4 linked regions of the Lonchura striata genome follow. The main gene of each other region encodes a partner of the protein of the gene in region 4 in a complex. Links are inferred from orthologs where the notes say so. Each region holds a gene or a part of one and is shown on either strand. Other genes may lie near its edges. The genes, in order: CETN3, NUP153, NUP188 and NUP160.

The links.
Region 1: NUP160 (region 4) and CETN3 share a complex: the UniProt entries of both Homo sapiens proteins name them as parts of the nuclear pore complex. The link is inferred for Lonchura striata from reciprocal best matches to the Homo sapiens genes NUP160 and CETN3.
Region 2: NUP160 (region 4) and NUP153 share a complex: the UniProt entries of both Homo sapiens proteins name them as parts of the nuclear pore complex. The link is inferred for Lonchura striata from reciprocal best matches to the Homo sapiens genes NUP160 and NUP153.
Region 3: NUP160 (region 4) and NUP188 share a complex: the UniProt entries of both Homo sapiens proteins name them as parts of the nuclear pore complex. The link is inferred for Lonchura striata from reciprocal best matches to the Homo sapiens genes NUP160 and NUP188.

Annotation. Positions count from the first base shown.
Region 1 is NC_134642.1:67,035,899-67,043,824, reverse strand, and holds the start of CETN3 (centrin-3), read left to right. Parts: upstream 1-4,914; 5' UTR 4,915-5,026; coding exon 5,027-5,043; intron 5,044-7,110; coding exon 7,111-7,246; intron 7,247-7,926. UniProt on the Homo sapiens protein: Plays a fundamental role in microtubule-organizing center structure and function. As a component of the TREX-2 complex, involved in the export of mRNAs to the cytoplasm through the nuclear pores.
Region 2 is NC_134603.1:90,606,370-90,614,011, reverse strand, and holds the start of NUP153 (nuclear pore complex protein Nup153), read left to right. Parts: upstream 1-4,624; 5' UTR 4,625-4,662; coding exon 4,663-4,761; intron 4,762-7,642. UniProt on the Homo sapiens protein: Component of the nuclear pore complex (NPC), a complex required for the trafficking across the nuclear envelope. Functions as a scaffolding element in the nuclear phase of the NPC essential for normal nucleocytoplasmic transport of proteins and mRNAs.
Region 3 is NC_134624.1:250,890-258,061, reverse strand, and holds the start of NUP188 (nucleoporin NUP188), read left to right. Parts: upstream 1-4,170; 5' UTR 4,171-4,242; coding exon 4,243-4,268; intron 4,269-5,973; coding exon 5,974-6,028; intron 6,029-6,625; coding exon 6,626-6,699; intron 6,700-6,920; coding exon 6,921-7,005; intron 7,006-7,172. Other genes in the region: DOLK (dolichol kinase), read right to left, coding at 557-2,128. UniProt on the Homo sapiens protein: Component of the nuclear pore complex (NPC), a complex required for the trafficking across the nuclear envelope. Required for proper protein transport into the nucleus.
Region 4 is NC_134608.1:52,472,243-52,479,897, forward strand, and holds the start of NUP160 (nuclear pore complex protein Nup160), read right to left. Parts: upstream 3,016-7,655; 5' UTR 3,010-3,015; coding exon 2,807-3,009; intron 2,634-2,806; coding exon 2,423-2,633; intron 1,612-2,422; coding exon 1,389-1,611; intron 1,305-1,388; coding exon 1,226-1,304; intron 4-1,225; coding exon 1-3. Other genes in the region: PLEKHG3 (pleckstrin homology domain-containing family G member 3), read left to right, coding at 7,073-7,348, 7,437-7,537, 7,636-7,655. UniProt on the Homo sapiens protein: Functions as a component of the nuclear pore complex (NPC). Involved in poly(A)+ RNA transport.

The sequences.
Region 1 (7,926 bases), on a different chromosome or scaffold from region 4:
TTAACACTACTTGGATTAAATATTTTTAAAATATATTGTAAGTTTAAATACTGTGTCATGTAAGCATTTAGACCTGTGTTTATTTCTTTGTTACATCTAAATATGTGTTAATGTAGTTTTCAGTAGACTGGGGAGTTGACATAAAAATCAGATGGGAAGTTTTGTTCTGTAATCTGTCAAGGCTGTTATGATATTAAACAACAGTTTGCACATAATAAATTTTTTTCATGTATTGTCATAATAAAAATTATAACCCTATGCAGTTAAGTAATAATTTCTAGGTATATCTCAACACAAGCACTTTTCATTCTAGATGGAGTATATTTACAAGTTGCTTGCAAAATTATTTATGCTTCTGAGAAAGACACTGCATTAAAAATGTTTACCCATTATACATGCACTTTGCCTTGTAAGAGTAGTCATCTGTAGCCAAAGAAAAACAAAATAATGCAGCTCTGTTATGGAGAGTGTGAGGGAGATAAAGGTGGAGGAAAAGGAGGATTTATTAATATTTAATGTTAAAAATCTAGGTCTCAGCATTCAACCAACACTGGTCCAAGTTCCTATTTATGCATATGTAACTTAAATCAGTAAGCACTATCTCTTGGTTCTAAAAATTCAACCGTGTATTATCCAAAATACTGCTAGTCCATCTAAACTCCTTTCACTTTCAAATTGAATTAGGAAGTATAAAAATGATTGAGAAGCAATGAAAAAAACCATCATTATGTTCTATTTTAAATTTATTTGACGTTAACTATTACATGAGGGAGCTGCTAGGCAAAACATTCATCTTCAGCATGGTTACTCCTAACTACTCAGACTTTATTGGACAAGCTGTCTTACAATAATTTAAAACTTATTGATTAAAAAATTATTTTAGAGCTAACTGTGAGTATTCCCACACATGCCCAACAGGGTCCTGGGGAGGCAATGAGGCATTCAACAGAAAATAAAATTGGGAAAGTAAGCAAACAAGCAGCAAAAAGAGGCCTGACATGGAAAAAGGCACAGAAACTTAGTCAACATTGCTGTGATTGTGCCAGGTATTTCCCAGCAGTTTGACCCTGATGCACAAAGAAGTTCATTCACAATCATCAAACTGCCAATGATACTTGGTATGTTTTTAATTTGACTTTATATTTGTACATATTATTTGTTCTAAGAGTGACATGAACAGAACTGTTTTGACTTGCATGAAATCTTACCCATCTTCTCCTTTAAAAAATTCAGGATTAATTTAATTACAATTCTGATATGTGATCTGATTTTGAGCAGCTGGGATGAGGTTTATAGTCTTTGCATACTCAGATTCAATTTAGGACAACAGAGTGGTAGGATAGTTTCCTAATACTAATAAAATTAGGATTAGAGAAGAATATAGCTTCACTCAAAGGGAAGACAGACCTGGCAGACAGCCCCACAAATTACTTTTAAAAAGCAATAAATGAGTTTGAAAATTAAGTAAAAGCTAGTAATGTTTTTTCTGGTTATGCTATGCTTTAAGTATATTTCATTATTAATTATTTTCCTTATTAAGCTGAGAATATGTTTGTGTGAGAAACATGCTAGTGCATTCATAAGTGGTCATTTTAGGACGGGTTTAATCAACTTTGAAAATGCAAGGATTTACAAGTCACTACTACCACAACCATGTACTTATTTTTAGCTATTATTACTTGAGCCTATTATTACTTGAGCCTATTATTACTTGAGCCTGTCTTTTCTCTTTGGAATTCTGTGCATCTCCATTTCACATGCAGTATGAGCACTGCTGCTAACTTAATGAAGAGTGGCACTTTGGTTTCTGGAGCCACTTTTTAGCTTATAAATTTAGAAGTAGGGACATGAATGTGGATCTTCAGTTCCCAGAAGCACACCCAGACTATCAGTATCAGGTATCTCACTCTGCTTGACAAAGAGCAGCCAGGGCACGGGTGCACCATGAGAGAGGACAACCTGGAAGCAAAGCACAGTCACAACACTGGCAGGGATTATGAACTCCCTGCAGAGTAACTTGACCTGTCAGCAGCCCAGCGACTGCAGACAATGGCAAGGTCATGACTCAAGGTCATGGCCAGGCCACAAAGTCTGTAAATATGTCAGCAAGAGCAGCACACAGTACAAGACGGGAATAACCCCAGCGCAGCTCAGGCAAGATCCAAGACCCTATGCTGAGACCCAGGATCAACACGCAGAGGAGGTGAGAATGGGGGTGAAACAATTTGGGGCTCTTGGTGCAGCTGGGGGCTACTTGTGCTACTTTCCCACACTTAAATCACCATTTGGTTAATGCTTCCTTTTCTCTCTGGACAAGTAAATGTGTTCTATGAAACATAAAAAAAAAAAAAATTAATCTGTGGTTATATTTGCACCACAGTACAGGCTGAGGGTCAAACCTGCCAGTAATTTATGCTTTTAGTTGCAAAGCTACTGTCTGTAAACAGAGGTCAATTACAAACCGCTTGCCTCTGCCTATTTGATCTGTGGACCAGGCATAATATGAACAGACAGCAAAATAGGTTTCATCTCTTCTTGACTTTGCTCAGGAAAAATGTGTATTGAGCAAGCCAAACTCTACATATTGAACACTGTGTACTCCATGTACATAATAGTTTATTACCGGAAACACGGGTGCAAAACATCTCCAAGACAAGCTGTCAGGACTGAAACGCCTGAAGGAATTTTTCATTGCCTGAGAATTTTCAGTCTGTCTAGCCAGACTGCATAACATAGGATCTGAATAACATAATGGTCCAGTTAGTAACACTGTACTATGTTGTCAAAGCTAGTTATGAAACAGCCCTTTTTTATGAAGAAAGACACAGTGACAATTACTTTGTCACACACCAGAGCACTGAGGCAGCGCTTTGCAGAAATCTGAGTTTTCTCACCAGTGATATGAGCATTTTCTCTACACAGATATGTAATGGTGATTCACTGACTGTTTTGCAAGACACAGTAATATTAGTGTCAATGATAACTGGAACTATACATAAGGTCTTCCAATCTCCACACAGTACATATTGCTTTTGTTATGAATGGGGTCTCATATGTCCAATTTGATAAATCACAAGATTGCAATTTAGCAGCAATTTTTAATTGGGGTATAAAATAATAATAATACTACAATCAAATGTAATGAAGTGCTTACAAAGAGTAATTTGACAATGGTTCAGATAAAGCATAAGTGAAACCAATCAGGGTATGGAGAAGGCTTCTTGTCCTGCTATCCATAAAAAGGGCAAAATGATCCAAACAGAAATTTTATACTGTATGCTAATACATATTCATCAATATTTCCTGTAAATCTCCTCCCATTTTTGATTCTTGAAATCTACATCACTAATACTACACAGCGCATCCTCCTGTTGTTGCTATGGGATCTCCTGGGCTTTTTGGTGGTCTTGGAGGAAGGCCAAAGGTCTTCCTTACTTGTCCTCTGGATAACCTGGCAGGTGGCACATGCACATTAAGTTTGGTGTTATGTAAGTAAGCACTATTTTCCAATTAAACCTTATTTATCTCATAGATAAGACCACTATTTTAGACTCCCTGTCTGGAATTGTCCCAACTTTATTCATCTCCAAGGTTGGTCCTGCTCTGGGAGTTGTCTCATTCCATCTTGATGCCAGTTTTGGTTTGGGAGTCTTCCTGACTTTGTCCATTCCCAAGGCCGAATCCAACTCCTACATCCTGCTTTCCACTTGTATTCTTGAAGAAACCCGTCCGCTTCATAACACTAATCACATGCACTTTTCCAATTATTTTTCCAAATTATTGGTTTAAGTACAACTTATTCAGCACGAATCACATCTATTTATCACACTTTCAATCAAATTTTTAGCAAGGCAAAATCTGTACAAGTGCCAGAAATGCTTCTGTAAATGCCACTTTTGTGTCCATCTCCACAGCCCACTGCACCTCCAACAGTTGGACTGAAGAGTAGCGAGCAGGCTCTGGGGGCATGGGGAGTTCTTCTGACACAGACACCAGACGTTCTACAGCAAGACTAGTAGACGTGCTGACCACAAAAATCAGATTTATAACCCAGTGTGCAATAAGCCAGTAATTACACACTTGAGGGAGACATGGATTATTTGTTTTAGAGTCGCAGAAGCCTGGGTGCTGCATTGTATTCCATGAGTCAAGCACACCAACTATCAAAACTCTTTAGTATTTTGTGTATTTATACACATTTTAGCAAACAAATGCATTAATGTTCACTGGCTTCAGGTTACATCGTTCTCTTATTAATTATTATTCTATATTCTGTTGTTAATAATTCTCTTATTTCTCATGCTAATTAGTCACATGCCCAGTCCTTCTCTTGAGTCGGTGGGCAGCTTGGTAAGTGATCTGCTGGAACTGGAGCTCATTCAACACAGTTGCTGAGTTGCCTTTATTAATTTCTTCCGTATCTTGGGAGTTCTGCCAAATGTCCTTGGAGTCTATAAATTCCGAATTGTTTGTTTGATATTGAAACACGTCGTGCCCTAGACCTTAACAAGGAAATTAGGACTAAAGATTTGTCTTTCTAACCCCTGGACATTATTTTAACCTTGCTTAGTAGCGTCTATCTGTTTCAAGGATTGAATCTCCTTCCTTGTTGATTAGGCTTGAAAATCAAGATCAAACATCGAGAAATCCTTCCTTAGGGAAACTTTCCCGCGGCGCCCGCTCGGCGGCAGACGCGGCGCGGCGGCCGGAGGCGCGGCCGGGAGCCACCGCCCGCTCTCGGCGGGGCCCGCCCTCTCCGCGCTGAGTGGCAGGAGCTCAGCCAATGGCAGCGCGCTCAGGGCTCGCAGGCGGGACTTTATCGCCCCTCGGCCAATCAGGTTGGGGACTCGGTAGGGGCGTGGCCTAGCGGCGTCGCTAAGGGCCGGAGAGCGGCGCGGCCGGGCTGGGACGCGGCCGGGCCGTGCGGGGCCGTGCGGGGCAGTGCGGGGCGGGGCAGGGCAGGGCAGGGCAGGGCGCGTTTGCCGGACCCGGCGCGTTTGCCGGACCCGGCTGCGGCAGCGGCACCATGAGCCTGGCCCTCAGGTCGGTACGAGCACGGCGCTTCCCTTGCTTGCCCGCTCGGGGCCCGCAGCGCGGTGTGGGTCCCTCAGGGCCACGCTGCCCCCTTTGGGAGGCCGTGGCGGGGCCTGGGTCATCGCCGGCCTTCAGCCGGTCCCATCTGATCCCTTCGGCGGGCCGGGCCGGACCAGGCCCGTCTTTCTGGCCGGAGAAAGAAGGGTCCGGCGCGTCTGGCCTTGGGAAGTTCGCTTCTGGGTTGTCTGATGTGCTTTCAAAAGGCCTGTGAATAGGCATAAAGTTAAACTGCTTGGCTTTGTTTTGTTTCTGCATTCTGATTTAGTAGCTATTGCGTAAAGGAGCCTGGCTTATGAATCCCAGTGCCTGGCAAATTTTTATCTTCAAGTGTAATTAATATGCTTACATGGCACCTGCTACGATTAATTTTCAAATCTAAGAACTTGATGCTTGCTATGGTTAAAGTAGTTGCAGAAGTGGTACTGAACTACTTGTATTTGAGTACTGCTTTGTCTTTTGATAAATTATTTTATGCTAAGCATTAAATGAACACTTAGGTACCTGGATTGCTCCTTCAGAAGAGTTTGGTGTTAATCTGCTTTCAGATTTATAAATGTATTTCTTCATTGTAGCTCACAAAATGTGGGCTCCCTAGATCTGATCTACTTACTCTCTTGGTCCTAATTACCTAGCCAGCTCAGAGTTATTTTAGGCCTTCCAAGAGTTGTAGTAATCCAAAGCCTGTGTGAAATCACACTGTCTCAAGTGGTCTGTTAAGAACATCTTACTCGTTGAGGGTATTGTGGTTTGAAGCTCAGCTTCTGCAGCTTGCACTTTTATTGTGTGTATTTGGGGTTTTTGCTTCAGTGGTTGTTGAAAACTAAGTATAGATAAGTGTTTAGTCTTAGGTTTTGATTAAAATTAGCAAATTGTTAACAAAGAAGAGCATAAAACAGCTTGTTAGAGGAGACTTGGAAAGTTAATCTTGCAGTTTTCTGTTCATTGAACAGTAATCTTTATGCAGTCTACCCTAGGTGACGCAGCAGCACTCATTCTGCCTCTGGTGCAAAAGGACAAATGAGCATAAAAAGCCTATTCCTGATAGTATAACATAAACTATGCAATAATTTAGGAAAGACTTATGGAAGTCATCTAGTCCAGCTTCCTGATCACAGCAGCTTCTACATAAAGCTGGCTGAGGATGCTAAGCACATTTTATAATTAGGTTAAAAAAATGTTTGATGATGGAGACTCATTCCCAGTGGAACTATTCTAGCATGTCACCACATGCACTGGGAAAATATTATCCCTTAGATCCAGCTGTAGTTTCTATACCAGCTGCAGTTCTTTCCCTTAAATTTTGTAGTTATTGTCTCTCCTCCTTTTACTATGCTCCTCTGAAAATATAAGCTTATTTCTACTAGCCAAAGAAAAGGGGGCAGTCTTTGAGCAAGATTTGCTGATTTGGAGGGCTTGTCTCTTTCATATATACCAAAACAGAGCAAAAAAAAATCTTCAAAACAGTGTGTATGTGTGTGGTCTAAAGAATTAAAAAAAAATTCCTACAAGTACTATTTATCTAAGAATTGTTACAGGTGCCAAAGTTGATTTGTAGCACCTAATGCTAGCTTTTAGTAGCCAGACTGTTTGGCCTAGTTTGGCTTCCACTGGCATATCAGTCCCTAAATTAATTTTATTTTTTAAGCTACAGTGTAGAAATTAACTGTTTTCAAAAGTTGTATAATTTCAACTGCTAATGTAGTTTGAAACCTCAAAAAGCCTTTTTATCTGGTAATTTTTCTATCCTCTGTTTTTTGTTGTTGTTGATGCTTATTAACAAAAATGCCTGTGCTGGTTTATTTTGGGTGGGAGACTGGAGGTATCATTCAGATTTCACAACATAATTGTCTATTTCAAATGTTATTTTAAACTGGGAATACAAGCTGGGAAAATACTGACTAGGTAAGGTAGTGATTTCTAAAATTATGGTGAGTTTATTATTGGTGGAAATGGTTATTTACAATGACATCTTCCCAGTAGAAATCTGTTACACTACATTTAATTTTCTTTATGTAGGAATGAGCTCTCAGTAGATAAAACTAAAAAGAAGAAAAGAAGAGAACTGACTGAGGAACAGAAGCAAGAAATTAAAGATACCTTTGAATTGTTTGATACGGACAAGGATAGAGCAATAAATTACCATCAATTAAAGGTAGAAGTTTCCTTTCATTTAAGCAATTTTATAGCAGATAATATATCTGTTCCATAGTGAATACTTAAGATGCTGGCTATATCTTTAAAAACTTCCTTCAAGATGTCTTGCTTGGTTAAAGGAGTGAAGGAAAAAACAAGAAAGAATGGGAAATTTCTATTGGTATAGGAATAAGCTTTTCTTCCCACTTTATTATTTACTTCATGTGTAACAGAATTGCTATAGCATTGTAAATAACCCTGGTATAATTGCTGACCAGGGATAAGCTTGGACAGATGGAAAAACTGTCCAGGGATAAGCTTGGACAGAGGGAAAAAACTCTTGTGTTTGATTAGTTTTAAAGATTTATGACTTAAAGCCTTCTGTTGGTTTCAGATGTGTAGGTAAAATATGTAAATCAAATTTGTAAAACTGTTGACTACAAGCCAGAGCTTACCTGTATTTTTCAAAAGAAAGCCTATGATTTGTAGGAATAAGGTGTGCTTTTTGAGGGAGGCTCAGTTGTTGCCCTTCTCAAATAAGGATGCTCCTAATGATAGCCTAAACTCCATCTGCTAATAGCTTTCTATGTAAGTAAGGTCTCCCACCTGAAAGTCTGCAGAGTAGTAGATGGAGTTCACTAAACTTCCCTTAAATCATCTATGCATTTTTATTCTAATTAAGACATCAAGAACAAAAGG
Region 2 (7,642 bases), on a different chromosome or scaffold from region 4:
AGGCATTTTGGTACTGATGTGTGTTTTAGGGGCAGTCTAAACCATAATTGCTAGGATGGCAGGTTTTTTTTCTTTAATGACTTAATTACATTGAAGTGGTGGTCATATCCCATATGCTGTTCTTAAATGTGAAACTAGTACTGCATTGCAGAGTGATGATTTGGCATGGCAGGTCCCTTCTACCTGCTCACCAGAATCTTCCTCTTTTCACAGTTTGATTTCAGCTGGGTTTTTTTTTTTTAAGTCCCACCCATGAAATACAGATGCTCTAAACTGGAAGGGTCTTTTGGTGTGATATAGGAATTTCATTCTTCCTGAATTTTGTGCATTGCAGGTGTAGAAAGAGAGAAAACAAAAGCCCTTCTTTCAGGCAGGGAGACAACTATAACAGTCTTAGAATGTTTCCCTGCTTTGGAGAGAACTAGTTGCCAAGTGGCTGAAAACTGGGATTTTGTACATAAATGTTTCTCTGGTGTGAACTGGTTAGTCTATGGAGGGTCACAGTAGGGAGATTAATAATGGGAATGTGACAGTGGAATAAATGAAGCAAAGAGAATTTGGATGGGAAAGAGAACAGTGTGTCTGTATAGAATTGTTTCATATGACTGCAGAAGGGAGGAAACTCAATAGATGCAGGCCCCTTGAATTTTGATGTGAGGATGTTAAACTTTCAAAATCATGCTGGATTTGCTGTCACTTTAGTTGCAGTGTACAGTTGGGGTGCTTGAGCTTGGTAGTACAAACCAGTTGCTAGGCAAAGGATTTTGTATCCAACAAGCACTGTCATCACAAGCTGGAAGATTATAACCCAGGCACAGACCTGGAAGTGTCCTGCTTTGAAGTGCATATCCTGCTTTGCATAGCGTTACCTAACATCATACTTTACCTGTAGCAAGTAATTTGTGGAAACCTTTCATTGTGTTATTAGATAGTAAGGGTGCATGTTGGCTTGGTAGAAATACTATAGAGTATCCACTGATTTTTTTTTTTTTTTTTTTTTTTTGTTAGCTTTTGGGAGTTTGATCCATATGTGAATTATATAACAAGGAGCCCATGTAGTTGTGTGATTTCACTTTAATCAGCACTGTATTACCACAGCACATAAACATCAGAGTCTGTAGTCACAATATTTATGCAGAGTTTACATCTTAGCAAGGTCTCCACACTCTGCATTATAGACTATTTTCAGACATGCATCTTCTGTTCTGGGCTGTAAAGTACCTGTATAGTGAAAATACTGCTTATGAAATGTAGTGAAGGAGGTTGTTTGAGCCATTAATTGTGCAAACCTGAGAAATGTTGGGGAATGTATTTTCTTTAGTCAGCACAGAAGAAAAGTGAGTTGAAGAAGGGAAGTCTGCTGGTTGCAGCCTGTGTGAGGCTGTTTTAAATAGCTCTCTGATTTTGTTTTCTGTCTCCTGAGCCTTTCTAGTCTATACTGCTTACCAGTTAGGAGTGCATATCAAGATACTGTGTGCAGCATATTCTTTACTGTAAATGCACACCGAAAAAACTTTGGTATTGGTGTAAGCATGAATTAGGGAAAAAGTGAATGCATCAGATCTGCTGGCATTCATTGCTGAGACTTTTAACTGGGGAAACTTTAAGCACTGGTCCAGCTACTGCCTCACTTAGCAAGCCTACACAAAGACCTGAACATGTCCATGATACAGATGCCTGCTCTCAGTTCTGCAAAGAGCTAATTGCAGTAGAAACATTTAAAAAAAAGTATTGGGACCAATGTTTTCAACACTACACTATTTCACTTTGTTTCTTTTTTTTGTCTGTTTTGCCCAGCTGGAAAGTTGTGGAGTTTTTTAAGTCTGATGAAAGGGTTTTTTTTAAGAATATCAAGTATTGGTTTTATAAACTCTTCATTGTACCTAGCTGTGATAGATAGTGCCTTTACCTAAAACCCACTTAATTCTTGAAGAAGAGTAATGTTTTTGTTTTCTACTATTCTGAACAGAAAAGCTTTAGTACCATGGTTTGAGGGGCTAATGATCCTGTAGTCAGTGAACAGGGAGGAAAAAACAGGCTAAAAACCAGTGAAGACTGAAAAGTGTTCAAAAAGGTTAAATGGTACTTAAGCCGTGAATGTTTCTTTTTGCAGGGATGCTCTTGGACCAACAGCTTCTTTCTAGCACTACCTCAAAGTAACTTGCAGATATAACTCACAGGGAAGATTGATCAAATGGTGATGATCACTATCGTTCTGCTGGAGATATATATATATATATATATATGCCTTTTGTTTTGTCTCATTTTAATGACATTTATTTAACTTCAGTGACTCATGTCAATAGACATTGACTACATCAACAAGTATTTCTGAGTCATGAGTTTCTTTAAAGGTATGTCACCATATGGAAATTGTTCTAAATAGGTAAAATAAGTAAATAAAGCAGCACTTGAATTTATAGAGCAAATGTCTAGTGTAGCTGCATTTGACATGTATATGGAAGAGAAAATCGTGTTTACAGCTTACCTTAATATTCTTAGCATACATGAAGAGGGAAGCTCGTTTTAAATTTGTTCAGCTCCTACCTGACCAGCACAAGAATGATTTTAGTCAGTTCCCCACGCAGGTACCATTTTAGAAGCCAGCATTGTTACTAATGAATGTATGTTACCAACGTGCAGTTTCCATCCCCTCTGTAAATCTCGCTCTTCCCATAATGGAAACACATTATGCTAGCCTTCCTTCCCCTTCTCTTAAGCTGAAAGCTAGCATGGTAATTGGTTCCTGGACAAAAAGAATTGCAAATCCAGGCAAAAATACTATTTTTTTCCTATTTTGATAATTATACTGATGTAGATCTAGAAATGCCCATTGTAGAAGCAGACCATCATCCTAAAATTAGTCAGCAGCTGTAGCACATCAGCCGTTTACGCAAAATGAGGTGGTTCTTGCAGGTGACTTCAAACAGGCATGTTCCAGGATAGGGATCGTCTATCACTGCAGGTCATCCCCCTGCATGTAAAACTGTATTCTTAATTGTGAGAGTAAGAGTGTAGTTTTATGAGGAGAAATATCTGGAAAATAATTCCACTATGCTAGGTATTGGATAATAGTTATTTCCTATAGTTAATGAAAATGGGACAGAGAAATTGAGCCAAGTCATGTAAGAGAGCTAGGAGGACCCCAGTGAAGTTCAAAAAAAACCAGTATGAAGCAGAGATGAGGCAACACAAAATTTCCTAGTACCATTTCTTACAGCTGTTCCTCTGCAGCTGCTGCCAGCTTACCTTTCTGTATGCCTTCAGAATCACCCTTGTTTGAGCTCCCCATAATTTCCAAAACCTTTCTTCAGGTGCGTGCTGGTTTGCACTGCTCAGCTCCATCCTTCCCACGGCAAGTTGATGCTAAAAATAAAGAGTGAAACCATAGTGTTTTCTCAACTTTACTTTCAGTAAGATAAAAATCCCACATTTTTATGTATTTAAACTTTGTAATAGGAATGCACTCTTCCTCATATTTTGAGGAAGTAAAAGCCACGGCGAAGCCTTTTCCCCTACCTCCTTTCCATAGGCCACCACTTAGTGATGAAAAACCTGCACCTGCTGTTTTCTCTTGCTTACACAAACTCGATCGCTAGTGGCAATCTGGGGGAGCACTGTGGGCTTCCCCGTGCAGTTTTTCCTGGTGCCGTTTTTCCTGGTGCCGTTTTTCCTGCTTCATTGTCCATGCTGTTCTTCGTCAGGGACAAGGGAAACATCCCCCTCACGCGTGGGTAAGTTGTGTACCTGGGGGCAGATCGTCAGAAGGACAGAGGCAGGCTCTGCTCGGTGGTGCCAGTCTCCCTTCACTGAAGAAAGTCAGGAACTGTCTGGATGCAATCCTGTGCCATGTGCTTTGGGACGACACTGCTTGAGCGGGAAGGTTGGATCAGATGACTCACTGTGCTCTTTTTCAACCTGAGTCATTCTGTGAAACGCTGCGGGAAGAGGGGAGGTGGCGGCGGAGTCACCCGCGGCGGGACCCCGGCACGAACCTCCGCTCGTGTCCCCTCAAGGCGTCCCTGTGCTGCGCCCGCGAGCAGGCACGTCCCCCGCCACGTCCTTGGCGGTCGCGGCAGATCCCAGCGAGCGCTTTTCCCGCGCAGCCGGCCCGGCCCGGCCCGGCCCCTCCCGCTTCCCTCGCAGCGGGGGCGGTGCGCGTGCGCGTGCGCGGCCGGGCCGTCGGTCCGGCGCCGCTTGTGTGACGCGCCCGCGCGGGCTGGTGACGCGCGCGCGGCCCGGGGCGGCCGCCGTGTGGTTGGTCGGCAGGGCAGGGGGGTGCGGCGGCGGCTCGGGCCGCGGGCGGGCGGACAGCGCGCGGGGCGCCGCCGCCGGGCGGGAGAGCGGAGCTGGGAGCGGCGGGCGCAGGGATCGGGAGGGAACGCGGGGAAAGGGGAGACGCGCGGGAGGGAGAGGCGCGCGAGAGCGCGCGCGCGCGCGGGTAGGGGCGGGGCGGAGGCCGCGGAGGAGCCCCCCGCGCACGCACCAGAGGCCGCGCGCGGCGCGTGGCGGGCGGGAGCGGCGCGGGGGGAGCGAGGCCCGGCCGGGCGCGTCCCCGCGGGGACGGTGACAGCGGCAGCGCTGCCGGGCCGCGGCGGAGCGCAGCGGCCGCACCTGGGCGAGGAGGACGAGGCCGCCGGCGGCGGCGGGCCGGATCGCATCATGGCCTCGGGTGGCGGCGGCGGCGGCGGCGGCAAGATCCGGACCCGACGGCACCACCTGGGAGCCGCCAAGCCGCCCTACGCGAGGGGCAAGCAGCAGGTGAGGCGGCGGGTCAGCCCCGTGAACCCCTTCCCTTCCCACCCCGCTTCTCCCCCGGCGCTCCCGTCCGCGGCGGCAGGAGGCGCCCCGGAGGCCCGACCCGGCAGAGCCGCCCCTTTGCTCCGCCGCCCTCCCCCCCGCTCTCCACGCAGCCCCACGTGCGCGGCTTCGGGCCGGGGTTTCCCGGTGGAGCGGCCCGTGGGGAGGCAGGAGGGAAGCGTTTCCCGCCGGGACCATGGGCATTGTGGGATTTCCGGGCGCTCGCCCCGCTCCGGCGCCGCCGGGCTGCGGGGGGATTCTCGCCTCCCCTTTGTCTTCTGCGTGTCCCCCGCTAGGCAGGAGCAAAGGCGGGAGGAGGAGGAGGCGGCTGGGCAGGCGTAGGTGCGCATTCCCGCTCCTCGCGGTTGGAGCGGGCTGGCTCCCGCTCCACGGGATGCTCGCTCGTTTTGTCTCTGGGCTGCCCGGTTAAATCCTAATTTAATTGATCTTAACTGGATTATCAAGTTAGAGTTAGTCTTCAGATTTAAGTGCATCGTTTCTAATATTTGCTTTTCCTGACAAATTCCAGGTTGCGAATGAGGCTGTGAGGGTGCTGGGTAGTTGGGCATCTCTTCCATTGTGGTTTCTTTTTCTCTCTCTTTTTTTTTTTTAATAGGATGCTGCCTACAGAACCCTTAGGTTTTTTTTTTTAGTGTCTTGCCTGTCCCTAAACGTGGTGGTGCAGTGCAAGCACAATGTAATTCATGAGGCATTTGTTCTTCTTTGTGTTGTGGGACAGAATAGATGGATAACAGAAAAAAAGCAGTTTGTAAATTGTGTTACAAAGATCCTATGCCATTTAGAATGGCTGCAGAGAGTAGAAGCAAAGATCCTTCCTAACTCCTGTTTGTCAGAGAATTTCAAGATGCCTGGAGATGGTGCTCTGGAAATGCCTTTCACGTGTATTTGTGAACCTGAAATTGACTGTAAAACCAAGCGTTATTAAATCGGTAATATAAGCCAGGAGATTAAATATTATAGGCAAAATTGAGGGCATGTTATGCATAAATTGTTGCTCAATTAGTTCTTATTTGGGAAGTACGATTCTTAATCCTTTGTATAACACTGATCAGCAGTGTTGTCCTTGTAAAGTGGGCAGGGTGACTCTTCATCCAAAGAATCACTGCACTTGCTGAGCAAATGTTGAAAGCTCTTACGTGAACAACAGTAATGTTGAAATTTCAATATGCTGCACATGGTGATACTGTGTAGATAACTAATAAAACAGATGAATTAAAAATAATTAGGTGAGATGATTTTCTGATTGTTCTATTGTCTGTTACCTCTGCGGGTTTTCTAGTAGGTTTATTTAAACAATGGGGCAAAGCAAACATGTGCCTGGGGGGATATCTGTGAGATGCAGCCCAGAGCATGGATGCTGCAAGTTGAATACATCAATCAAATTAACTAGTATATTGGGGAAGAAATGGTAAATAGTCAAACAGATAGGTGTCAGATGTGCATTTGTCATAAGTTATGGCTTTTTAACCCTATGTAGCTTGCTAACCTGCGTTACATAAAAAGATGAGCTCTGGGTAGATAGCTGACTTGAACTGGAATTAATTGATAATTTTATTTTCAATAAAACATCCACTCTGCAGAAAGTATTCTGTGGTTTGGTGTTGTCTCTCAGTAATGAGTTTGAGAAGACATAGAAGTGCTCAGTGCAGACTGGACATGATCTCCTGCTCCCCTAACTTATCAATAAGGGAGCTCATAGAAGTACTGTATTAGAACTGTTCTAAGTGCTTTAGATCAAGACTGCAGTCTCTTATCACCAAGCTCTGAAGGTGCCTAAGCACTGAATGCCATATTGCTAAAATCTTTACAGTTCTTAGGATATCTGATTCTTTTCCACTTGTATGATAGATGAGTAGTAGCATGATGCCAGGCTTATAACAGGCCTGTTGTATGTTTTTCTTAAGTTGTTATGCTTTCTTGATGTTGTTGTTTTGCCATAGTCTCCCAGGGAGCTTGGTCACATGTGAATTCTCCAGTGGTCCCTAGCATGTTGCAGTCAGTCTTCCATTAAGTGCAGCAATGGCTTTAGAAGATATTTGGAAGAGGAGATGATGCTGCTTTTCAAAGATGATTAGCTAAAGCATTTGTTCAAAATGTGGTAGACCCTGTTTTAGATTTTTTTTTTTTTTTTTTTTTTTTTTTTACTTAGAGGCATCAACCTACATCTTCCACTTTCTGGGCAAATATCCCAGTTGCCAAGCTGTATGCTGTCTTTGAGTTCTTCTGACTGAAACTGTGTTATTATCCAGAAAAAGAATGTGTGATTCATTGAGCCAGGAAGAGGATGTATAAGAAGATGTTACCTTCCAAGAGTGGAGACATACAGCCTGTGATCCATGATTTCAGAAGTTATTTGTTTTATATATTCTTGGAATAAACATGGAAAGTGCAGAATTTCCTGCCCTTTTCTCCCCAGGTGCCTGATAGAGCCATATTGCGTTATATTTGCATGTGTTTTTGTTTTTTTTAAACTGTGGAGGTTTTTTTTGAATCAATCTCAGATAGGAGAGATGAACAGATGCTGCTTGGAGGATGTGACTTGCAGCTTTTATTTTCTCTTGGAAGATGGAGCTATGAGTAGATTTCCCCCAGTAGTGAAGGAACTTAACCACAGTATTTTCCTTTCTGGGCTACCATCCTGCCTTATAAAAAATGCACTGTCAGTGGTTGTATTATTAAACCAAGAGACAAAAAGTAATAGCACAATGAGGTAAGGACAGTATCCACTAACCATGAAGATTTGAGGTGGGGGAATCACAGAACAAAAAGAGCCTTTTTGTATCTCTTTGGTGGGTGTTCCTGGAGTAGAATTGTGGAGTTC
Region 3 (7,172 bases), on a different chromosome or scaffold from region 4:
CTGTGGCAGCTACTGATTTTGGATTTGTGTTTGTGTATCGTGGTGTGGTTTTGGCTCTTGCTGATGAGGACTGGACATAGCTGGACACTTGTACCTGGTTCCTGTGCCCCCCCCAATTATCAAACATGCTTTACATCGTGCTTATACAGACATGAGAGTTCACACATCAAACACAAGACAAGACTCAGTACAGAAAACAAGGTACAGTACAGAGGTAGCAACATCTGAGAGACTTGCTTGTTTATTTTTTCCCCTCTAATTGACTTACCTCTTCTTCCTCTGCTTCCCTTGTGCACCCAGAAGAAACTTAAATTGCATTATTAAACACAAGTGCTGCTTTTATCGGTTGTGTTTGTTGCTGTTAGAACATAAATCCGTCTATTTTCGACAGGAGTAAGAACAAGACCAAATCAAAACCTGTTTTAAAATAGTCTTTCTCATTTCTGTTCTCAACAGCTTTCTCTGCTGTACCAAAACATCACCTTTGAGCTTTCATTAAAGTGCATTTTCTAGTACCTTTCTCTAGGAAGGGAGAAAACTGTTCCTGGAAGTGCTTCTATGCCATGAGCATGATCTGGAGGTAGAGAGGCAACAGCAGATTATCAATTTGAGTAGTGTAAGCTTCCAAAAGAGAAACCAAACTCACAGATGCCAGAATCCAGGCATAGCTAGAGTTCAGATTCACACTGCTGTCAAAGATCAGAATGAGAGCCACAGCAATGATCTGAGCAAAAATAGCTGTCATTGTCCCTTCAAAGGTCTTCTTTGTTCCTGGCCATTTGATTTCCCCCATTGTACTGCCAAAAACAGAGGCAATGGTGTCTCCTACCCCTACTGCCAACACCCCAGAGTAGGGCACCAGTGCTCCTGCCCCAGACAAGGTGCCTTTAGGAGCACATGATCTGGGAAACAACCACACTGGGAGGGACATGCCGAGGAGGAGATAAATATGAGTCAAGATGAGAGGTCCACTGTCTCTTTCATCCAAGAAGAGAGAGAGCAAATGCCTCAGGGTTTGTCCAAAAGGTTTGATCCTGAAGTACCGGATGTACTCTAAGAAGATAAACACTGCCAGACACAGCACTGCAGCAACGTAGAGGAGCTGGCGGTCATAAATTAGTCCAGGAACATAAGTAGCTACAACAATGAAGTGGAAATATTTCCTGGTTATAGTCGAGGCCTGGTGTTTTTTAGATTCAGATGATCTCTTAGCATTCTGGTAGAAAACCACCCCACATGCTAAGGCAGCCAAGAAAGTCCAATACACAAGGAGGTAAAGTCTTGTCTGTGTCTGAAACAGAAACTGGAGCAGCCAGAACAAAGGGTTCCTCTGGATCAGTCGGTACAGCCACGGCATGATGACCCCTAAGCCTAACACTGCTGTCATCATGTGGAAAAACATGGAGGAGATCCATGTGCCTGAATCCATGAAAATGAAGAGCACGGTGAAAAAAAGACCAAGAAGAACAACTCCAACAACTGCTACCAGAAGGAAGAAGTCAGTGGGATCCCCTCTGCCCTCGATTACATTCAGTGAGCGTTTAATGAGCTGGTTGAGAACAAAACTTATACCTCCGAGAACCAGCAGCGCTTCCCCGGGAGTAAAACATCGAGGCAACAAGTACAGCAAGATCATACTGAGGTAGACGAAAATGAGCAGCACTTCCAGAACCTCTATCACTTCGGAGACAGTCAAGGAATGTTTCATGGTGTAGATAATTACGCTGCCAGCAACACCAGTCAGGATGCAAGTGTTGGTTGGCACAGGTTTGGTGATGCCAACCGCCAAGACGGACAGGAAGAGAGCGAGCAGCATTCCCGTGGAAGCCACCACGATGCCAAAGCGCTCGAAGTAGACGATGCCGGCAGCCCTGCACCTCTCCTTCATCACCACCCCCAGCAGGGGGATGACCATGCTGGCAGGCAGGAGGCCGCTGTTGGCTGCACCCCGGAACTGGAAGACAGCCCCGCCCTGCTGCAGCAGCCAGTCCCATTTGAACTGGGCGTAGAAGGCCTGGACGGCCAAAGCCACGGCGCACCAGGAGAAGCGGTCCCACACCACCGCGTGCACCGCCAGCACCGCGGTGAACACCAGCAGCGACTCCACCAGCACTGCCCTGTTCGACATGACTCCAGCCCAGCCTGCTCAGGCCTGCACAACTTCACCAGTCTCAGCTGCCTGTTAGGAAGAATTCCCTTCCATGCTACTGCAATTGCTATTAAAAAAAAAAAAAAGCAAGCAATTAAAGCAACTACTTGGACAGCTGAAGTGTTTGCACAGCTATTTGGTTCTTAAACTCAAACTCATAGTTAAGTGCTAATTGCTAAAGTCAACACACAGATGAATTAAAAAAAAAGTGAGGTGAGTAAATCCTGCAGTTCATCTTCTCTAAGTGAAGGCTCACAGCTCACTGACAGCTGCAAACCAAGCTTTGCTTTAAACGTTTGGACTGGAGGGTAAGCAGTTAAGATAATCAGCCACAGGCACATTTACTCTCTTAGGTTAAATCTCATCTTATCTCCCTCAAAGAATTGTGGGCATTGACAACACTGACAGCTGCACTGCAAACCAAGCTTTGCTTTAAACGTCTGGACTGGAGGGTAAGCAGTTAAAATATTCAGCAACAGCCACATTTACTCTGTTAGGTTAAATCTTATCTCCTTCAAAGAATTGTGGGCATTGACATCATTGTGCAATTCTCACCAGCATTTATTGCTTTCTGGTGACCCTGATTTCTCTATGGATACATCATTTGATAATGGGCCATATGTAAACCTCTACCATTACACTGGCCTCTCTTCTGGGGTCTTTGAAGTTCTCCTGTTCTTTATGTCTATTGGAAATATTATGGTTGATCCAGCTGTGAAAAGGGCTTACTTTATCCCTTCTGGACCACCCTTAAGCTGATTAGCAGCAAAGTCTTACTAAATTCTGCTCCCCCAGTCTCAATGCCAGTATCTACATCAGCTCCCTCATGGAAGACCAGAAGTTTATTTAAGGTTCTCTTTTGGGTTTTCAGCCAGTGTTGAATGGTGACACTAGATTACAAAGCTGACAAAGTAATAGCAATATTACTGAGAAATTATTACAGTTTGTACTGTAAAACTTTCTTAGCGTGTCTGCAGTGTTTAGATATTTATAACCTTGTACTGAAAACTTACTGATGGATTGCTTTTTGGCATCCTTATTCATATAGCCTGAAATACTTGATTGCCAAACACCTTCATTACATGCACTGTTGCTACACAGCTCCTTCAGGCCAAATGTCATTTCTTGTCATTGCAATTAATTTTTAAACAGGAGAAGAATTAATCATACAGTCAATAAACCAGAACTGGTCTGGGCAATATCTACCTCCAACCAATAACAGTTTTTGGGTTGTACTCCCTGCTGTTTCTGAGCACTGGGGAGGGGGAAGCCTAAGGCTTATTTGAGAAGAAGCAGAGTAAATGCCACCTGCCAGCCAAAGACAGAGTCCTCCTACTCAGTCTGGCAACCTTAAGGTTGCACCCCAGCTCCCGTATCGATGGCATTACAGCTTCCCCGCCGGGCTGCAAGAGTAGGTAGAAATTCACCCTGCCTGAGGTCTCTGATGGAGCGGCTCTGAATGCTTAGACCTGACAGTCTATATTTCACTAATGAGTTATTTCGTTTTCTTGTGCCTGCCGCAATCCCCTCCTCCGCACCTTCTTTCAGGTACTGTGAAGCTCCTCGGCACTGCCGCTCTCATCATCGAACGGGACCCACCGCCCTGCGGATCGAGCCGGACCCAGCGTTTTCTGCCCGTCTCCTGCTCCGCATGCCGGCTGCTCAGGGCGGGGAAGCTTCCCACTGACGTGCTGCCAAACATCCGGGCTGCAGCCCCTGATTGCTCCCTCTCTTCCCCACGACCCCGCAGCGTTGTGGACGCCCCTCAACCCGCGGGCTGCCCGCACCTGCTCGCCGCCGCCTCCTGTCCCCCTCAACCGCGACACCCACATCCCAGCCTCCGCTACTGGGAACGGCATCCGCCCGCGGGCGATGCCGGAGGCGCTCCCGGGTGGTTCCCGATTCCAGCGCGGATCTTGTGCTCCGGCCCGACCGCCCCGGGGAGCCCAGCCCGCACCCACCTCGCAGGGCGCCGCCATCTTGCCGCGCCGCCAGTCACATGACCCACGCGCGGGGGCGTGGCTTGTGCAGCACCACGTGACACCGGCGCGGCGGAGGGCGGCAGCCCTGGGTCACGTGACAGCGGAGCGAAGATGGCGGCGGGCGGGCTGAGCGCGAGGTGCGGGCCGGGGCCGCTCGGGCGGAGGGAGCGCGGGGGCGGCCTGGGAGGCCCCGGCTGTCGCTGCGGGCGGGCCGCGCTCCGCGGCACCGGGGGCCGGGCAGGGCTGTGGGGAGGAGGCGCAGCGCGGGGCCGGGAGGTTTTAACCGCGGCGGGGCGCGCGCCGGGCTGGCCCCGCCCCCGCCCGGCTGAGGGACCCTCAGTGAGCCCCGGCTCGGGCGCCGGAGCGAGCCGCGGCTGCGGCGCTTTTGTGGCGGGGCTCGGCTCGGCCCGGCCCGGCCCGGCCCTTCCCTACCGGGACCGGCTGCGCCTCCCGCGCCGCTCCCGTGCAAGTCAAAGTAAACGCGTGGAAATGAGTGATGGAAGTGATTTAATCAATCCCGAGTTCAGTGATCATCTTAGTTCAGTGGTTTCGTTTCTCCAGAGCACGTTTTTTGTCATTTATTATAACGCTTTTATGTTCTGGAGTTTCCCTAGTGTCTAATTTTTATTAAATTAATGATACCGCTGTTCGTTGTGGTCGTATACAGAGAGCTTTCCTCCCTTAGCTGTCTTGGAGCCTTATTAATGAGGGGACAACAAACCACGGTCTGTTTTATTCACAGGAGATTGTGAAGGAGTGAAAAGTAGGTGGGTTGGCGTTGCTAGGCTGGGGCTCAGAGCTGACAATAAGTAAAAAAATGTGTGCAAGGCAAATGAAGGCACTGATCTGACATGATCACTGGACCTGGGATTCATTGAATTGCCTCTTTCACATTGCTGTTCAGTTCTTGGTAAATACCTGGGTCTTTGGGTGCTCTGCGTGGGCTGGAGAGGCTCATGGCAGAGAAGTGCACCCAGCTATCGAGGAATGAGCAGGGAGGAATGATGCTGATGGGTGTGCTGGAAATAACAGGTGGTGTCATTCATTAAGTGTCACCACATGGCAGAAGTTGCAGATGACTTTCACTGCCACAGTGAGTTATTTTAATAATGTTATTCTAAAAATAAGGCAATGAGTGTTCTTGTGTAGACAGTCTTTGTGTGAGGAGTTGGGGTGTTTAAATCCTCATTTGTAATGTGTTGTTAGCAAATCATTGTTTGTCTAAGTGAAATACTGTTTCTGGCAAATATCTTTTCTCTGTGCTGTTGTAGGGAGACTTCTTTTAGAATGCATGTGCCAGGGTCAGGGTGTGATCTGTAATTTTTATAATGCAGGTTGGCTTTTCTACAGAGTTCTCATGAAGAAATGACAAGCTGAGTGTAAATGTTCTGGTGTCTGTGCGAAGATGGTGGAGTTTTTCACTTCATACAGTTTTATGCTCTGCCTAGACTGGAGGATGAAACTGCTGGAAAAATTTGTTTGAAGGAGAGCATTAAATGTAATAGTAGAATACTGCTTTATGCTTCTATTTTCTTCTTAGGAGCTTTAAATCAAATTAAAGTAAAAAAATCAAATTGAGCTGGTAATCTGATATCAATGTGAAGTTTTGATGTGAATTCACAGGTCTTGCTGTGTCAGTTGTCACCTCTCTGGGTTTTTCCTTGGTTTTTCTAGGACATTTGAAACTCATTAGCTGGAAGCTAATGTGCCTTAAATAATTTTTCTTGCATCGCAGTGTCATTCACTGTAAGTTAATTGCAGGTTTGAAAAGTGTAAGCTAGATGGAAGCCTGGAATAACATTCATCATTAAAATGCTCTCCACCTTTTCCTTGTGTTTGCAGGAGCAGCAGAGAATTATGGACAATTTTGCTGGGCAGATCAGCTTTAAGAGAACCAGTAAGTTATTCCCTGCAGAGCAGGTTTGGCCATCACTTATTGGGCTCCATGGCCAAACACATCATTTGTACACTCTTTGAATATTAGTGAAAATATTTTCTGCTGCCTTTCCTTCTTTCTCAGCATGATTTTTGTTCCTGTACCTCTGCTACTTGTTTATTCTTCTGTAAACTGCTGGTTTACAGCTGCTGCATGAACTGCCTGGAAGGGTGTATGGAAAAGGTGGTTCCTTTTCTGGAGTGGGCACAAGTGCTGCTGCCTGGTTTGCCCTGGGGTGTTCACGTGTGGTACAACTGCTGTCTTATATTGAGGGATGGAGCCTGTGCTTTCAGGAATTCGGCCAGAGGTTGAGAATCCAAATGTTTGTAAATCCAGTCCATTGCCTCCCTTTTCCTCACCCTCCCTAGGAACAGGCAGTGCAGCTCCCTGCCTGTTCAGTGCTGCATCTGGAATCACTCTGAGCCACAGACACCAGTCTTGTGTTCTTCCTGCCTCTTTGTGCTGGTGGAATTTCTTTGCTTTGCTGAAGTTTAACAGGTGTAATATTTGGTAATGCACTTTGAGGAGTCTGTTCAGTGGTGTTTGGTTCTGTTTTAGGCTCAGATTGCTGCAGAGTTGAACAAGCACTGGCAGAGGCTGTTAGAGGGACTGTCATACTACAAACCACCGAGGTACAGTCACTGCCTGATTTTAGAAATTAATCTCAAATGTGGAGTTTCCTAGTAAGTAAAGGAAGGTTACAGAATATTGTATGAAATATTGAAAGGTCACTGAGGAAGAAGCAAATGTTCAGTTTAGACTGATAAGAGTGGAGAACTTTAAAATTATGCCTATTTAATTTTTTCTTTGAGATTGCTGTATTTTTAATGACTAAAATTTCTTTTCACTTTAGTACGACTTCAGCAGAAAAAATTAAAGCTGATAAAGATGTAGCCGCTCCACTAAAAGAGTTGGGTCTGAGAGTCAGCAAGTTTTTGGTGAGTGAAGCTGCTCTTGGATTATTTTTTATCTCTGGAGTGAATTGTTACAGGATTCTGATACTGAATGACTTCATGATGTTGAATAGAGAGACACTTAAGGTCCTTTCAGTTCAAAGTAATCTAAAGGATGTTGAAGTACATCTGAGGCTCTAGGTCAAACTTCC
Region 4 (7,655 bases):
CCTCTGGAAAACCAGAGGTTACATCAACACCTCCACAGAAAATTCTCCATCCCTGGAAGCATCCAAACTCAGCCTGGACACTGGTCTAGTGGAAGGTGTCCCTGCCCTAGGTAGGGGGTGGGACTGGATGAGCTTTATTTAAGGTCCCTTCCAACACAAACTGTTACAGGATTTTATAATTCTAAAATCATGGCAGGTGCACAGATCCAAGGCAGTGGGGTTCCACCACTGTGCTTAAATCCAAATAAACTGGTAGGTGAGATTAGGAGAAGGGAACGTTTCAGCATCCCCAGAGCAGAAGATCCCACCACACCAGTGACATCCAGCTCTTCACTTGCTTTAGTGGAACTGAAGCACATTCCCACTTCCCCATCCCCAGGTACTTCCAAAACACAGGTGAATGATCTAGAGGGAAAAAAGGATCCAAGCAGCCCCTGGCATGGATCCTGCCAGCCCCTGACAAGGATGCAAGAAGACATGAGCAAGGATCCTGACAGCCTAATGCCTTAACTTTCCTTTTTTCCAGATTCTGTACTGCAATAGTATGTAACTCTGAACTTCATATGAAGTGTTAGCAAGTTCTTTTCACAGTTTAGTTAGACAAAACCATATTTTTCCAGCCCAAGAACCAAGGACACCATTGCAGCTTCAGGCCCCAAAAGTAAACAATAAACAGTAAATAAGTAAACCTGAAACAGCAGCAAATTGAGGAGAGCAATGTGGCAGGATGGATCCTGCCAGGATCCTGCCAGCCCCTGGGCAACACACCCACAATGGTCAAAGTCACTCAGGGCATCAAGGGACTCACTCCCACTTCCAAGAAAAAGGCTCTAGGATTCAGCTGTGCACTCTAAACCACTCTAACAAGCCCATCCCACCACGGAGCATCCATGTGATCCCCACATAACCTCTGCTGGTCAGGAACGCGCCTGGCTCCTCAGCACCAGGGCAGAGTAATCCCTAATCCATGCTGGCTGCGAGCCACATCCTGGGCAAATCCCTGGAGGCCAATTACTAGAGAAACATATTCATAGACACATGGAACAGCAGGACCCTGCTAATCCAGCATTCCACCCCCAACTTCCGTACACTGATAGCTCCTGTGACCCCGTTAATTTTTTCGGGTGGAGTATTTATAGGTGCATGTGTGACTCAAGCTAAAAATTCCAGGTGAGGGGATCCAAAAGCCAAAATTAGCTCTGTTTATCTCTCTCCAGGCACTCACCTGATGGCAGTTGGCATCCAGCCTGTGAGGAAACGCTGCACCACCGAGCTCTGCTTCAACTCCACGACAGAAACACTCCCTTCAAAAAACAAAAGGAAAATCAAAAAGTGAAGATTAAATGAAATTCCAAGATGGGAGAGGGGGTGTAGTGCCCAATCCTTACCAGGAGCATCAGGAGGAGGCAGCTTAAGGACAAAGATCCCTCCTGAGGCGGAGGGAAGGGCGAAGAGAGCCTCTCCCTCGCTGCTCAGCCAGGCTGCAGAGGCCACGGAGTTGGGAGCCAGCCCCGGCACGCTGGGAATCACGTAGTAATTGGAGGGATCCCTGATGTGGATTTTGCTGATATCTGTAAACACAGACTGAACTTGGCTCTCCGTTATCAGCTCCTGTGGGGAAACAGGAGAAAACAGCCTCAAGTTGTGCCTGGGGAGATTTAGGTTAGATATCAGGGAAAATTCCTTCATGGAAGGGATTATCAGGCACTGGAACAGGCTCCAGTAGTGGAGTTCACATCCTGTGTGGATGTGCTGCTTGGGGACATGGGTGGCCTTGGCAGTGCTGGACTCCATGATCCTAGAGGATTCCATAAAACATCAAATCCTGAGCACATATATCTAAGGCACAGGGAAAAAAAAACATCAGACATCGATGGAATGGAAACTGTCTCCTTGATCAAAATGATTTTTCCAGTAAAAAATCTCTGGCATAGCTCAGAGAAAACCACTGGTCACAAATCCCAGGAAGAGCAGCTCTGCCACAGCACAGGGTCATCCCTTGGGATAGCTCTCCAGAGCTTTCTTAGAGAGAGAAGCTCTCCAAGAGAGGAGAAGATCCTGGTAAGAAGCAGGCACAAATGGAAAAGTCAGAAATGGGGAGAATCACAGAATCCTGCAATGGTTTCAGACAGAGAAAAACTTAAAAACCATCCAGTTCCAACCCACATCCATGGGAAGATGGTAAATGTGATATAAACCCTACCTAGGATCCATGAAATACAGATTCCAATCCAGACAAAACCAGCCTGCAGCTCCAGAGTCACCACATGACGCAGGCGGAACACCAAGACAGTTCTAAATTCCCCAAACCTCCACTTTTCCTCTTGTTCCCGCTGTATTTTGGGTCACCCACCCCCTCCCCAGCCCTCCCTGTGGAGTCGGGGTCGCCTGCGCCGGCCCCGGCGGCGTTCCCGGCACTCACGCTGCGGTAGAGGCGGGCGGGGTGCGGGAGCAGCAGCCGGTGCACCGTCTGCGCCGTGAGCAGCAGCACCACCAGGTGACTCTGCACCTCGCACAGGTGGATCCCGCCCGGCAGGAACGGGCAGCCCTGGATCCGCAGCCGCACAGCGTTGTTCAGCAGGTTCACGTCCAGGGACTCCTCCACCAGCTCCACCGTGTCCCCCGACGTGCTCCTGCGGAAACAGAGGGGCAGAGCTGAGCATGGGGAGGGTCCGAGAGGGGAGAGAAAGGCAGAGACGAGGATGAGGAGGGTCTGAGGGACAGGAGGGTCTCACAAGGGTGAGAAGGGAGAGGTGTGGATGAGGAGGGTCTGAGCGAGGCAAGGCGGACGGGGGCGTGCACTCACCATCGCACCCAGCGATTCCTGGTGGCGGCCCCGAGCTGCGCGCTCTCCTGGTAGCAGAAGCCGCCGGCACTGTCGCCGTAGCGCCCGGCGGGGAGCGGGGCGATGCCGGGGGGCACGAAGAGCAGCTCCTGCGGGGGTCGCGGCGGGGCCCGGCCGGCCGCGCTCAGCTCCAGGCAGCTCCGCGCCGCCAGAGCCGCCGCCATCTTGGGCCGCCGCCTTCCCGCCTCGGCCGCGCGGGGCACGACGGGAAGGGGAGGGAGCGGGCGCCCCCTGGCGGGCGGGAGGACGGGGGCAAGAGGGAGAGGAAGGGGGGAGAGGGGAGGGCTGAGGCGGGACGGTGGGGAAAGGGTCTGGGGAGGGGAATCTGGCATGGAGATGTGGGAAGGGGACTCTGGGGAGAAGGCTACAGGGAGAGTGGATTTTGCGAGAAGGTAAAGGGGGATTTGGGGAAGGGGTTTGAGGAGGATCTATGAAATTTGGGGCAGGACACTGGGGAACAGGAGAGGAGGTCTGGTTTAGTGGGGGCATGTGTCCTCAGCAGCACCCACCCTGCCAGCTCCCGACACCCACCTGTGCCCACACCTCATCCCGGCGAAGCAGCCACAGCCGCCTTCCCGGACATGTCCAGCACACCCAACCCAGCCACTGGCAGAGCCCATATTCCCATACTGGTGAGGGCAGTGGGGACCCCATCATCCCATGGATGCCACACATCCCCCCGCAATACCACACAGTGGCAGCGCCAGCACTGGGCCTGGCCAGGCTCCCGCTCCGCTCGGAACAATCCAGCCTTTGAGCGGATCCAGTGCTGGCGCACGAGGCGCTGCCTGTAGAATGGGCCCATTCTGGTGGCAGGTGCCGTGAGGGGCCGGGGGCTCCAGCTGGCTCCCAGCTTTTCTAGGGGGGTTGAAGCCCCCCATGTTGGTGTGGAGAGCTGGCACACAGTTGGATTTGGGGGCTCAAGTGTCACGGTAGAGCCAGGGCCATGCACCAGTCATGGATGGGCTGAGGCGGGATGGAGGAGCGCTGGGAGCAGGCCCCACCCGCGGGCATCCATCCTGCCGTGGCACGGAGGGGTGCCCTGCATCCACCCCGTGGCTGGTGGCAATGGGTGTCTGTGTCCCTGTCTGCATCCCCTCGGGCAGGAATAGTGGGTGCCCATGGCTGGGGCTGGGACCCCTTCGGGTGCTCCTGTCCCCTGGGAAGGGACCCCACGGGTGACCCGGTGGCTGCGGGCTCCCATCCACCATGCTCAGTGCACCCCAGGACAGGATCAGGACTGTCCCAGGACCATCTCGGGACTGTGCCTGCACAGTACCGGGACTACGCCAGAAGCACGCCTAGTTCTGTACCGGAACAGTACTGGGATCATGCCAGGACCGTGCCGGGACAGTACCTGAACCATCTCTGGACCGGACCGTACCAGGACAGTACCTGGACTGTGCCGGGATCGTGTCAGGACAGTACCAAGACTGTACCGGAACCATGCCTGGACCAGACCGGGACCGGGACAGTACCGGACCGTGCCCCGCGGTCACGCCCGGGCTCGCTGCGATAACTGTCCCGCTCCCATTCCCGGGAGTCCCCATTCCCGTTCCCGGGGCCGGGCGGGGCGGCCGCTGTCCCCGCCCCGGGGCGCTCCCGCCGCTTCCTGCGGGCACGGCCGGGACGGGGCGGGACGGGACGGGTCGGGGCGGCGGCGGTAGCGGAGAGCGGTGAGTCCGGTCCGGGCGGGAGCGGGGCACGGCCGTGGGGTCCGCGGGAGGGGAGCCCTCGGTCCTCCCCGGAGGAGGCGGTCCCGAGGGTCCCTGCCAGAGGGGGTCTCCCGGTGGGGCAGGATCCGGGGGTCCCGGTGCTGTTGCATCCCGGTGAAGCGGGAGCCGAGGAGCCCGGTGGAATGGGAGTCGTTGCATCCCAGTGGAATGGGATTCCTGGGTTCCGGTGGGGCGGGAGCCGTTGCATTCCCGCGCGGCAGGATTTGTGGGTCCCGGTGGAGCAGGATCCGTGGGTCCTGGTGGGGCAGGAGCCGTTGCATCCCGGTGGAGCAGGATCCACGGGCCCCGGTTAGGCAGGATTCGTGAGTCCAGGGATGCCCGGAGTGAGGCAGGAGCTGGGGGTCCCCACCAAGTGGGAGTTGGGGATACTGGGGCACGGGACAGCAGGACCTTGGGGTGCTGGCAGACCCCCGGGACAGGCACCTAAAGAAATGTGGGATGTCCTCAAGCCTAGCCTGGGGTGCAGGACAGGCTGTGGCATGCGGGGTGACCCTGGACAGGGGTCCTAGTGGGAGGTGGGGGTGTCCTGCGCCCCTCCATCGGGATTAGGCGGCGCGACGCCATGGGCGCCGGGCACTAAGAGGCTTAGTCAGCCCCGCGGGTCGGTGCCGCCTTGTCCCGGGAATGCCGTGACACGGGGTCCCCCGTGGTGCCGAGCCCCCCGAGTCGCCGCGGGCGGGAACGCCGGCGCCCAGCCCGTGCCCGCCGAGCAGCGGCGGTGCCAGCCGGGGCCGGGAGCGACGGCGGCGGCAGCTGCGCCCGAGCCGGCGGCGACCTCCCCGCTCCCAAGGCCGCTGGGATTCTGGAAAATGCCTGGAAATGGTGAACCGCCTGCCCTTATATGGCTCCGGCGGGCTGGCGCGCCGCGGCCCCTCTCCCGGCGTGCCGTGCCGTGCCGGGATCCTGGGAAAACGCCGTGGGCTGTGCCTCGCGCCCCAACTCCCGCGCTGGAATGTGCAACGGGGCCGGTGATCCCACGGTGGAGAGGAAATCCCACCTCCCTCCCGCCGGCCCGGCAGCACATACTCGGCGCCTGCCTCAGTTTCCCCCAGCGGGGAGTTTTGGGGACCCACCGGAGCCCCGCGTTCGGCACTCCAGGGCGATCGCCCGTTCTCTGTGGCGGAGATGGGGAGGGTCGGGGGCGTGAAGGTCACAGCTAATCCCGCCCGGAGCAGGCGGGAGCGGGAGGGATGTGGGCGGCCGCGTGCCCACCGAGCTGATACCGGGGGGTAAGAGGATCAACCCCCCCCCCCGATCACCGGGGCGGGATGACGGTGACCGACGGGCCCAGGAGAGTGGCCGCGGTCCCGGTGACGTGGGACCGGAGCCGTAATCCCGGTGCTGTGAGCGGATTAGGATGGCCAGGGTTGGCTTTCGGGGACGAGCTGCGGTAGCCACAAATTCCCGCCCGGATGTTAATTGGGGGAGGTCCTGTCTGGTCCCTCCGTGCCACCTGGGGGTCTTTTGTCCCCCCGGCAGGGTGGGATAGGGGTCTGACACTGCCGGAAGGGATGCTTGGGGTCTACTCTCTCTAGTGTCATCGCCTGGGTGCCCCCGCTCCCTCCCCCGAGGTCGAGGTGACCCTGTGACCGGGTGCCCCATGCCTGTAAAAGTGAGGAATTTGGGGGCTAGGGGAGCTGCTCCCAAATCGCCCAGATCTGGGGTGCCCAGGAGGTGCCTCATGCCACGGTTGGATGTACCAGCACCCGGGGTCCCGGCTGTGGCACCGCTGGGGACATGGGTCCGAACCCCACTTAGGAGGCACCGCGGTGGCGTTTTGGGGGGCTCCTGGCGTGCTCGGGGAAGCCCCGGGGAGGGCGGTGGCTGGATGGCGGCCACGCGGCACGGTGGGTGTGGGGAAGCGGCGGCGGGAACCGGCCTGACCGGTTGGGTGCCGGCACCGGGGGTGCCGGGGGGCTCGGGCGGTCACGCCGCCGGCGCAGCACGTGGCCCAGCTCAAGGTCGCTGTCCCCAGGGCCACCCGCCGCGGTGACCGGGCTCAGTGGCCTCGACACTCCCACACGCTTTGCCAGTGGCCGCTGTTTTCTGGCTGTCCCAACCGTGTTTGTGGCACTGAGCGGTTTCGGTGGCACGGGAGGATCCCGGTAGCACCGGTGGTCCGGAAGGGCGAGCCGGCGCTGAGCTCACCTGGAAGGTGTCCCGCGGGCGCGGCGGTGACGCACGGCCCCGGTGGGTGGGGGCAGAGGCACTCGTCCCACCCGGTCCCAGCGCGGTCCCCGGGTTTGGGATGAGGAAGAGCTGGACTCCCAGATCGCAGCATTGGTGGGCTGTGCAGAGACTCCGTTGTGCTGTACCCAAAGATTTTTGGGGCTGGGGGATGCTAGCACCCCTTGGCATAGAGGGTTTGGCCGCCAGGGTGAACTCCCTTGGTGCCACACGCCACCCATATCTGGGGGCTCTCCACACCCCCTAACCCACCATTCTCCCCCCAGAGCCACCCTGTGCCCCACTGGTGCCAGGGGATGCCGGGATGCCGGTGCCTGCGTGTCCGCAGCGCCCTGCCCTGAGCCCAGAACCCGGCTGTGCCATGGAGGACCCGCCCAGCACCAGGACCGAGGCGTGGGCCGAGGGGCTCCATAATGCCAACAACAACGCATCCCCGGGGGGGTGGCCGGGTGCCCGCAGTGGGCACCCCCTGGCAGCTTTCGGGGGTCCCGGGGCCAAGCCCAGCTACCTGGACCGTGTGGTGCAGGAGATCGTGGAGTCAGAGCGCACCTACGCCCGTGACCTGCGCAGCATCGTGGAGGTGGGTGCCAGGGGGCACAGGGGGGTACGCCCCTCAGACATGGTGTGGGGTCTAGGGGTGCAATGGTGCTGCCATGGGTGCCTGGCAGGGTTACCTGGGCAAGATCATCGATGCGGAGGAGCCAGTGCTGCGACCGGAGCAGGTCAGCGCGCTCTTCGGGAACATCGAGGACATCTACGAGCTCAGCAGGTGGGGGAGCAGGTGCCACTGGGAGGTGACAGGGGTGCGACCCTGTCCCGCGGGTGTGTGAGGGGCTGTGGTCACCCTGTCCTCTCTGTGCCCCCCAGCACCCTCCTGCAAAACCTGG